Caenorhabditis elegans: one gene and its partners. The protein of the gene in region 2 interacts with the protein of the main gene of each other region in a biochemical or structural test. Each region holds a gene or a part of one and is shown on either strand. Other genes may lie near its edges.

Region 1 (3,480 bases), on a different chromosome or scaffold from region 2:
TTACACGTCTCCAAACACACACCGTCACCTTCTACTCCTTCTTCCAAATAGCTGAAGACGATGAAGAATCCTGTTCCGTCTCGATGTCTGGGCGTCCTCTACACCTGTATGCACTCTCTCTCTTCACACACACGAAAAAGGGAAAAGCGCCCTGTAAAAAAAGGGAGAAGGAAGACAGAGAAAGGGACGAAAAAAGTGAGAATGATTGAAATCTATCCTATCTCTCCCCCTTATACCGTCTAATCACTCTGTAGAAGCTTTTGGGCAGACGGGACGAGACGCATACTCAAAAAAACAGGTAGTTTGTGTATCGGCGCAGTGATATGATTGAATAGCTTATTATTAGATTATCGAGATTGTCATAACAAGGAAAGGGCGCTATTGCCTAGCAACACGCCTGCATTCAGTCTTCCTACCTGCCTGCCTACCTGAATCATACCTACATCTGCCTATGTGCCTGCATGCCTGCCTACCTACCTCCCTGCATACCTACTCACGTGCCTTCATCATGCCTGCAACATGCCTACATCTGCCTACGTGCCTGCATCCTGGCTTGCTCTTTCTACGTATCTGCCTGCACATTTACATGCTTGCCTACCCGCCTACCTGTCTTTTTTATGCTTACCAACCTCCGATCCTGCCTGGCTGCCTACCTACCTGCCTACCCACGTGCCTTCATCATGCCTGTAACATACCTACATCTGCCTACGTGCCTGCATCCTGGCTTGCTCTTCCTACGTATCTGCCTGCAGATTTACATGCCTGCTTATGTGTCTTTATTATGCCTGCCAGCTTACGAGCCTGCCTACCTGCCTATCTGCCTACCCACGTTACGTCATCATGCCTACAACATACCTAAATCTGCCTACGTGCCTGAATTATGGCTTGTTCTCCCTACGTATATGCCTGCATATTTACATGTCTACCTACCTGCCTGCCTACCTACCTGCCTGCTTACCTACTCACGTGCCTTCATAATACCCGCAACATACCTACTCTGCGTACACATCTACCAATCTGCCTACCCACGTGACTTCAGCATGCCTGCAACATACCTACATCTGCCTACGTGCCTGCATCCTGGCTAACTCTTCCTACGCGTCTGCCTGCCTGCCTACCTGTCTACCTCCCTACCAGCCTAACTAGTTACCTACCTACCCACGTGCCTTCATCATGACTGCAACATACCTACATCTGCTTACATACCCACATGCCTGCCTACCCCCGTGACTTCTCATGCCTGCAACATCCGCCTACGTGCCTGCATCTTTATTATGCCTGGCAGCCTACTATCCTGCCTACCTACCTGCCTACCTGCCTAACTGCCTACTTGCCTACCTGCCTACCTGCCTACGTTGTCGAACTTTTACATATTTCTAGTCCCCGTAATTTTCTTCTACCTCTCACTATTTTTTCCTGAAAGCGAACATTTTTGTATTCTTTTCAGAAAAAAGTAGTACACAGACGTACATGGCGTACTACAAAATGCAACAATTTGTGATCACAAATTACAAAAAAAAAACATTGGGAGTAGGAACGGAGAAATAAAAGAAGATAGGAGATGATTAATTACTCTTGATTTGATTGTTGGTTACCTGGTTTAACAGGTAAATTATGACGTAACGTGTGTGGCCTAGAAATTCTGCAGTTTTCTAGGCCACGAGGTATGGTGTCAATTTTGCTCCAATTTAATGGAAAAATCACAAATTTTTGGTATTTTCCGTGACCCTCACCCCTTCCCCCTACTCAAAAATATTATAAAAATTAAAAAAAAATCCCACGTCTCTAATCAATTTTCCCAAATTTCTCCATTTTCTCATTCATTTCCTGATAATGTCCACCTCCACTCAGCGACCACCGGCGCCAACTTCTGGCTGTTAGTTTGAAACGCGCTCTACCGCACTGGTAGTGCGGTAGAGCGCGTTTGCATATTTGTACCTCCATTTTTGCAGCATCATCGACGCCATGGACCAAAGTAGTGATATTCATAATTATTGGCATTCTCATTGTAGCCTTCATCGTGTTCGCCGCCGCTTCCATTGTGAAATATGTGAGTTAAAGGCCTAGAAAAATTTGAAATTCTGTTGGTGGCCTAGAAAATGTGTTATTTGCTTTTGTTGGTGGCCTAGCAAAAATCGCGGTCATAGAAAACTGTTGGTGGCCTAGAAAAGTTTTAGGTGGCCTAGGAAAATTTCTATATGGCCTAGAACTGTCTGTGATGGCCTAGAAAATTCCGACATGGCTAAATATATGTCTGGTGGCCTAGAAAATCGCTTGATTGCCTAGAAACTCTAATTTTCAGATAAAAAGCAAGAAGCAACAAAAGCAGCCAAAGAAGAAAACAAAAAAGAGCACAAAATCGCGGAGCAAGAGTTTGAAGAGCAAACAGTCTGCAGTAACCCCAAAAAAAAGAGCATCTCCAATTCCACCTCAGCCAGCTCCGCCATCATCTCCCAAACCAACTGAAGAATCTGCGACACCATCCTCCTCATTTGCTCCGTCAACTGAGCCAACACCGACAGTTCCAGACAAGGTTGATGATGGCTCCGAGGACACGGAGCACAAAGAGCAAGAGCAACAGACTGTTCTGTGCACTTATGGCAATGGATGGAAGTCTAAGAATCAGGTTTTTAAAAAATGCAGATTTGTTTTTTTTTTCAACAACTTTAGAACATTTTTCAGCCTCCCCACGACTTCTCCTTCTCAATCGAATCTGAATAATGCCAACAATGTAAAAGCTCCCCGTGTCACCTGAAAAGTCTCCAAAATCAACCTCATTTCTTTCGTTTCTACTGGTTTTTATTGCAATAAACTTGGGTTGGAATTGCTTTCTCGGGGGGCGGCGCGCGACTTGGTGGCTTATATTTTCGCTAGTTTTCAAGATATTAAAAAAATTTTAACCACAAAATTGTAGAAAAAGCATTGGAGAACAGTTTTTCAGTTGGCCATTTTTTGATAGAGCAAAATGTAACCGAGATATAAGCTCTCGAAGCTAAGAGGTAAATATTGGTCGATGCACCATGTACCGAGGCAGGCGTAGGTTGCCTTGAATGTAGGCTTTGTCACATGCCTATCTTAAACCTGTTGGGCAAAAAGTGGAAGTTAAAAACACTTTTTGCTCATTTTCAGAAAATCTTAATCATGTTTTAATTATATTTTTGTTAATTAGGAAAAATAATATATGTAGGCTACCTTGTAGGCAGGTAGGCAGGTAGGCTCGAATATTGATGAACAATTTTATCAAACATTGAAAATAAATATCTTGGACATCACCATCGCCTTTGTTCCGATTACTTCGTTTGTCCATTCACCGGCATTGTTCAGATCAATGTTGCGTGTTTCATCGTACTGCCTGAAAATATTCATTTTTTTGAAAACAGAAATGCCTGCCCTAGAGCTTGCATATAGGCGCCAAAACGCCTGACAACTGCCTCGGGCCGCGCCTTCTGTACAGTGCGGCGTGGAAACCGTAAAGTGTCG
Region 2 (3,758 bases):
GCAATAAAGAAAAAAGGTATATCTTCCTGAACTTCCGCGTAGCTCAAAACTTGTGAATATTGTAAAAATCTACACAAGTACCGAAATATCAAAACATTGTACTTTTGACATATTAGAACGCATATGAACGGTTTTAATTGTTTTTTGTTGTAAGAACCACCCTTCTGACTATCTTTCCTTTTGATCAAAGCAATTGAAATAAAGGAATAATAATAAGCTACCTTAACATATAATCTACGAACTGTAGAAAATTCCAGAACTTTAGAGAACTGTTTAGAAACTGAACTTTAACGAAATGTAAGTTTTCTAATAACCATGAAAAACCTGTTTTCTTAACAGAAAAAAGTAACACAATCGGAAACTTCATGTATTTTCTTCAACTAGGTTTTTTTCGTTTCTTCTCTTCTGAATTTATCTTTGATGTTTCTTCTCTTCTGAATTTAACTTTTTTGAAATTAGTATAAGTAAATGTGATAAGTTGTCCAACCCCTTCTCTGAGAACTGTCCAATATTTATACGTTATTTCACAAAATAGGTATAAAATATTGAATATGAAATCAAAAAAACTACCTAAAATGTGAAACAAACTGCTCAAAAAAGAAGAATCGAGAATGTGTTTCAATACTAATAGTGAAAATAAAATGAAACATAAAAAATTAATTTGATGTGTGTTTACCACCGATCCATTTTGTTTCTAATGAAGATGTGTTTCGTTTCTGTAAAATTAAATTTACCGTTTTCAAAAACCGAATTTTTAGTTTTTTCTAGTCTTAATGTTTTATTATCGTTGCTTCGTTAATGTTTTCTGCACCTATTCAAACTTGATGCTGCATAATTCACAACAACCACGTTGAAAAAGTCGTTACATGTATTTTTGAAAATACTTACTTCTTAGACAGCCAATTCAGTTTTTTCCAGTTCTTCCACTGAGCTATTTTTTTCAAAAAACATATGTCTGCCCGCATACTTGGATACTTTCCTGTATGCAATTTTTCTGAGGTCTCAGAAATCGGACACTCATCCGCTTTTCTTTTCAGCGGCTAATCTGTTGATAACACGATGAACGTTTATATTTGTGAAACGATTTCGAAAAATTGTGCAAGATTATCTATGACGGCCTTCACTGGAATTTGGATATCCGTTCATATGTTTTGAGTCATTTTCAAACTAAATTTTTTAATTTTTAATTTAATTTCGAATTCACTCGAAAAATTTTGAAATGTTTTCGTCTTTTTTTAATATATTCCCAAAACAACAGCCACATTAAAAAAATTATAATTTCTTTGTTATACTGTTCATTTTTTAAGTGTTGAAAAATGCTATTAAAACTCCCCCTTCCCGCCATAATTTTCTATTTCAAAAATCATTTGCTCTGGGAACTTTTTGATATATTTATGACTTTGACTGGTTCATATGAGTTGGTTCACTGCAGTTTTTTGCTAAACATAATTTTTAGTTACGATAGTTTGGAGTTTTTTTCCCGGGTAGCAGCTGTTCCATTTAATTCATTCCAAGTTTGCAGATGGAAATGTTTTTTCTTGTGTTCAAATTTCATTCAATTCGAAAGTGCTGTCAGGAATTCCCACATGACGGGAGCCTGGTGAACACAGCCAAGTTCAACGGTTTTACGATCAAATCTGCGATATCTTACAGCAGAATTTGATTCATTTCATCGTCTATCCTCCAATCTTCGGACTTCAAAAAGTAATTTATTGTGATGAGTCCCACACGTTCTGAGGTTTCCGCAAGTGTTGAAAGACGCCAAAGTGAAATGAAAACAGCTAAAATAAGCGATGACCTCTGAGATTTTTGAAACTTTCGTTTTGCCTGCTGGACTTTTAAGCCCCGCCCACATTTTTTGTTCTCCTCCCACATTTGTTCCATACCGCTTCTTCAAGTGCCTTGTTCTTTAGAAAAAGTGGCTTGTTCGTTTTCAAGATTTTACAGGAAAACAGGAAGAGTTGATTGAAGTTCAAGTATCATCAATTTTTCAAACTCAATCAAAATTCTTGTTTTTCACATCTTGTTTTCCTTTTTTCAGATCATTCGTCGTCTCACCTTTTTGTGGAATCTGTGCAACATGAGCACGGAAAGGCTGATGTATCTCGATTTAAATAAAGGGTAAGTGTTGAGTTTTTGTTTTTGTTTATTTAATGGAGATTTGATGTCGTTTTGACTGGTTTGATTGATATAAAAAATTTTCTCAGGTCTGAAATTTAGAATTTTTTTTTCAAGTTTTTCAATGTTTCAAAATTGTTCTAAAGAATGAACGCAGAGTACGGCCACAGGGGAAATGACTCAAATTTTTCATGTGGTTCTTAAATTACTAAATATCATAATAAAACATAATAAAAATTTTTTGAATTTTTATTTCGATTTGAAAATAGTGAAAACTTTATGCCACTTTTAAAGATATCTTAAGCACTATGGCATTAACCCTTTTCTATGTTAGAATGGGAAATTCTTAAAAACTAAATGACCAAAAGTTGCAACTAAACAGTCGAATAATGTTCAGAATTCACTCAAATTTTTGTGAGCTTGGGTGAATTGCCAAATTTACAAAAATGTGGATTACTTAAGTTATTTCCAGCGCTGTCCCTAAAAGTGTTTGAATACGGTTAATTTAAAAAAAAGTCCAATGAAAAAATTAGCCTACTATGTACGTCTCTAAAATCTCATAATAATAACCAAAACTCTCTGAATCTGAAGCAGTTAAAAAACTTAATTTTTCCTGAAGCTTATATTCACAAAACTAAAACTATAGTTTCTGAGAATATAACTACATTTATTCCGTTTTACTCAACTAATGAGCCAGCTTCCGAACTCATTCCCTACAGGTTTTACGTCACTTTCAATCTACACAATTACTTGCTTTGTGAGCATTTACCAAAAACAAAACTTAAAATCAGAGACTAAAGATACGAACCATACCTAATTCATTCTTGTCAACAAAAACTATCACAACCACAAACTTTAAAAATTTCAACTACGAAGCCTCTACTTCTCTCATCGTTTTATCCACATTCACCATACCCCTTACTCCGGTTGCGGTCGGACACAGGAAAAAGTTGAACAAAAAGAGAACATAGCCGCAGATGGGGGTTCAATTCATCAATTAGATCTCTGCCACTTTTTCTTTCGTTTCCGAATCTGTCTCACATTCTGAAATAACTAAAGACGCTGAAAATGATGAGGCGATGTAAAAGCTTGCGGTACGTTTTTTTTGTGTGTTTCTCTGTGAAATGGTTTTTTGGTTTTTGAAAAACTATCGTTAAAAAAAAAAGAAAAAAAAAGGAAAAAACCAGCTTTGGTATTCGAAAAAAAAACGAAGATTCTGTGATGTGAAAAGGAGTTCACCATGAATTCCTGATCAAGACTTTTTAGTCCATGTTCCTCTCGCCTCTAAAGCTATTTCCTTTTTTCTTATCTTTTTGTTCAGCTTGCAAAAAGTCGAAGATCCGAACCAAATCGTTTTCGAATTTTTAATTTAGAACTATGAAATTTATTTTTGGAATGAGGAAGGAATTTGAGCAATGCTTTTATTTAAAGGTTTTCTGGTCTTTTGTATAAGTCTCCCCCAACGACTTTCGGATGCACATATTGGTTTCCTGTAGAGTTGGAATATGTCAATTAGCTGCACTTTTCTTTTTTAGAAAACAAATGAAATGAGGATCAATATTGGATTTTTTATTAAAATTTGAGTGGAAATCGAAAAAAATGGTTGAGAAAAAAATTGGTTCATTGGGAAAGACTCTTGG
Region 3 (3,758 bases), on a different chromosome or scaffold from region 2:
TCAAAAACCAAGGTGGGGCATTAAGATTGCTTGCTCAAAAGAGCTTGCTCAAAATCATCGAAATTTTAATGAGTGGACTGAAAACAAGCAATTTTCAACAATATCAGAAGTTTGTAATGATTGGAAGCATTGAATTGAGAAAATATTCTGGACAACCCACGTTCTAGCATATCCAGAGGCACTTCTTCCAATGTTGCATCCATCAATGACAAGCGGTCTCGATATTGCCTCTTGAGTCGGTGGTTTGAAATAAGCATTTTCTTTATCGGTTTCTAAAATACTTCATTTCTCTTTTTTTCAATTTTAACCAGAAAAAAAGAATTACTGTTAGTCATCATCCAATGTACATAAGCAGTGTAAATATACGACAAGTTGATTGAAAATCGAATCGATTTGACGATCACAGGACAAAATAATGAAGATGGTGAAGATAAATAAGTAATGCATATAAAAATGAGAACAAAATTACACGTCTAAGCTAAATGATTTATCGTCACAATCAACACGAGGAGTTCTCGATGACGTGGAGGCGTTTGTGTCAAGCGAATATGTTCGAGGATTTGATTTTATTGAATTCATATTTGGTTCAATCAATGAATTCATTGATGAAGATGACGAAGATGACATGGGAATTGCTGTTGAAGAGGAAATTGATGGCTTACGGCTGAAATATATTATTCTTTGAGGTTTCGTTTGAATTTGCTGAAATATGTTTTGTTATTGTATGAAATGTTTCATTTTTAAGTTTCATCTATTAGAACGCCGGTGTGGTCAAATTCAATACGATTGTGTTGTTATTTTGCATTTATAAATAAGACTTTCGACATTTTTCATAAACGTTTCACCGCTAGAATATTATAAAAACCACCAAAAAGCCATTTTTTAGTAGTGTCTCATATTTGGCTACTAATCTGTTTTCATCTTTTCTCACCTATCGGGCTCTATTAAATCCGGTGACGCAATTCCAAAATCGTAAATCATTGAGATTGCAGGAGTATGTGGACGATTTGGAAAATCAGAATGTATGCAGTCGTCAGCACTTACTACAATCTCCGGAATGTCTGATGTGACTGTTGATATGCTGTAATTATAATTATTCATTAAAGGTTATATAAAAGCAAATAGAAAACCATTTCTGTTAATTCTTTAGTTTCCCTGATTATAACTTCTCTAAAAAATTCTGCTAATTACCTGTAATGTCCTCTTGGTCTTGTTCCATTTGGAAGTGGCTTCCATTCGCTATCTTTTCGCTTTTCTGGTCCTTTCTCTTTGTTTTTGTTCACGAGCCATGCAGTCACCTACAACTTTGAATTAATTTTTTTTCGATGTATTTTCATAAATATACCTGGGTTTTTGCTCTCATCAATCGTCTTCTTTTACGTTCCTGTATTTCTAATTCTTCTCGAATTCGCATAGCATCAAGGAGCGAATCCATCTGAAATATAGAGAACTTCATGTAGCTTAATACTGAAGTTATTAGCATTTTTTCAAAATTTCTACATTTATTAAAATTTTGTAACAAAACTTCTGATTTGACCGGGTTTTTGTTTTCAAACAACATACAAAAACCTACGGTCCTCTCTAATTTCATACAATTTCATACAGTTCGATTGTCTACTGTGAAATTCCAAACGTACCTCAACTGTTGATTGTGTTCTCCGAATTGATCGTACCATTAGGAGAATAATGACAAATGAGAACATTATTAAAATTGATATTGTATAAAGTATTCGACCGAACTCATTTTCGTACTCTCTCATTCGGATTGCAGCCTTGTCAAGTACTCTGAAAATTGCCACTTTTCATTAAGAGATTTTCATACCAAAGTTTGACTTTTTGTTTGTCTTTTTTCCCCGATTAATTGTCACAAAATATCAAAACTCACTGGGGATCACAAGCATTTTTCAAAGTGATGCATGCTTCTCGAATGCCTTCTTGGCACGTGGGACTGATATTTTTGTGCATGGAAAGATTAGAGTACTGTCAGTCAGAGTTAATAACGCCAAAAACTAATCAATTAAAACGATCAGACAGAAAGTGAAACAAATGATTAGGTCAAATGAACTTTCAGAAATATGATGAGTTGTAGTAGGTGTCACACACTAATCGATGAGAAGAAGACGACGTGGTGCACAAACGAGCCCTGGCGCCACTGCTCTCGAAGACTGCTTTCCTCCCTTGATTTTCATGCATTTCCATAGCAGCACATATTTGTGTGCGCAGATTCTGGAAGAGACGCAGACATACTCACATGTTTTTTATTATCATCGGAGAGGACATTGAATGGAAGTATAGAGTATGGAGAAAGAAGGGATTAAAGTGTTTGTGTTTGATGTATACCAAAATAAAAACTGTCGCCATCGGAAATTGCCAAAAGTTGGCTTTTACTGAGAGACTCATTTACTAATGTACTTTTCACTAGTGTGTGACAAAGTCAAAATTTGAACCGAGATCCACTTCAAGAGCCACTTAAAGAGTTCAAGACCAGTTCAAACCAGTAATGACTTTATTCACACTTTCCTGATTTGGAGAATAACGAAAAAACATCAAACTCGAAACCATTACCTACACTGTTCTACTATTTGTTCTTACATATATTCATATGTAATCACCCATCAAGTCATAGCTCTTTTTAGTGAAATGATACACCAAAAAACTATCAACTGAATAAATATTTGTATTTATATGATGTTCATTTGGTTGACTCTGCTCTACCAGAAATTATCAAAGTTTCGAAAAGAAGGGAAACTAATCAACTGATTCAGATAACTACTGGGTGGTCCATAATTATGGCGACCACTTTACGGAACTGTAACTTTTTCTTGGACAGCGATCAAAACAAGTTAATATATACATTTTATTGAATAGAAAAAATCGAACATAATGACATATAAAACTTAACATTTACCTACAGCCGCACAGACCTCAAGAAACTCAAAAACCCAGTCGACCGTGGCGCGCAAGTAGGCTCAATTTAGCTTAATTGAGATTTTTAAATGAGATTTATCCAATGATTTATTTTCATTATTATATAATAAAAGTATCCTTGTTTCTAAAAAACATTTCATGAAAATTTTTTTGTGATTGGTTACCGGTGACGGAAGTGACATTTGGTGAAAATTTATAAAGTCAAAAAAGTAAGCTCCCCCAAATTTTGTGATTTTTCTTCCTTGCCAGCCAACGATCCTTTATGCTTAAGTTGACAATGTATCCATTTTAAATTTTTAAAACTTAAAATGGCAATTTGGTTTTCAATATCTTGATATATTCCACAGAATTCACTGTAACCCAATTGGAAGCGAAAAAAAGTGATCTCAACCGCGGTGTTTGTGTAGTTTTTGGACATTTTTTTCGGATCTTTCTATAGCCCCCATCATGCCACACAAAATGCGTGTGTGGCATGATGGGGGTTATAGAAAGAAGGCAGAAAGCCTATCAGGCAGTTGACAGGCACGCGAATGTGCGAAAAATTGAAAGGAAGGAAAGCGAATTAAGCAGTTGGTAAAGCATGAATTTGCTATGTTTCTAGTTCTGAAATATACGTTTCTTTGATAATGTTTCGTATCGGGCGCTCGTTGCTCTAGAGTCACTATCTAACTGTTCAAAGTTGATGTTTAACACTTCAAATTCAAACTAGACCAATGCCCGATTTAAAATGAATACAATGTTTCAGGTTAACGTGTTGAATCCCTGTTGGATAGATGGAAAATTATTGAGAAACTGTTTGGGTCATCGCTTCTTACACTCACACTCTCAAC

The links.
Region 1: of the proteins of kvs-1 (region 2) and mps-3, one has a biochemical effect on the other in vitro, tested with the Caenorhabditis elegans proteins (one study listed by BioGRID).
Region 3: of the proteins of kvs-1 (region 2) and mps-1, one has a biochemical effect on the other in vitro, tested with the Caenorhabditis elegans proteins (2 studies listed by BioGRID, with this or other methods).

What each region holds. Positions count from the first base shown.
Region 1 is NC_003279.8:760,190-763,669, reverse strand, and holds mps-3 (MiRP K channel accessory Subunit), read left to right. Parts: upstream 1-1,820; 5' UTR 1,821-1,833; coding exon 1,834-1,876; intron 1,877-1,952; coding exon 1,953-2,050; intron 2,051-2,302; coding exon 2,303-2,626; intron 2,627-2,682; coding exon 2,683-2,721; 3' UTR 2,722-2,822; downstream 2,823-3,480. Other genes in the region: Y18H1A.8 (TransThyretin-Related family domain), read right to left, coding at 3,241-3,352.
Region 2 is NC_003284.9:7,705,409-7,709,166, reverse strand, and holds the start of kvs-1 (BTB domain-containing protein), read left to right. Parts: upstream 1-2,035; 5' UTR 2,036-2,080; coding exon 2,081-2,121; intron 2,122-3,067; exon of another isoform or gene 3,068-3,208; intron 3,209-3,758.
Region 3 is NC_003280.10:6,292,187-6,295,944, forward strand, and holds mps-1 (MiRP K channel accessory Subunit), read right to left. Parts: upstream 2,176-3,758; 5' UTR 1,966-2,175; coding exon 1,886-1,965; intron 1,786-1,885; coding exon 1,638-1,785; intron 1,436-1,637; coding exon 1,346-1,435; intron 1,299-1,345; coding exon 1,192-1,298; intron 1,082-1,191; coding exon 932-1,081; intron 665-931; coding exon 466-664; 3' UTR 339-465; coding exon of another isoform or gene 326-338; 3' UTR 273-325; downstream 1-272. Other genes in the region: nyn-3 (RNase NYN domain-containing protein), read right to left, coding at 161-272, 326-338.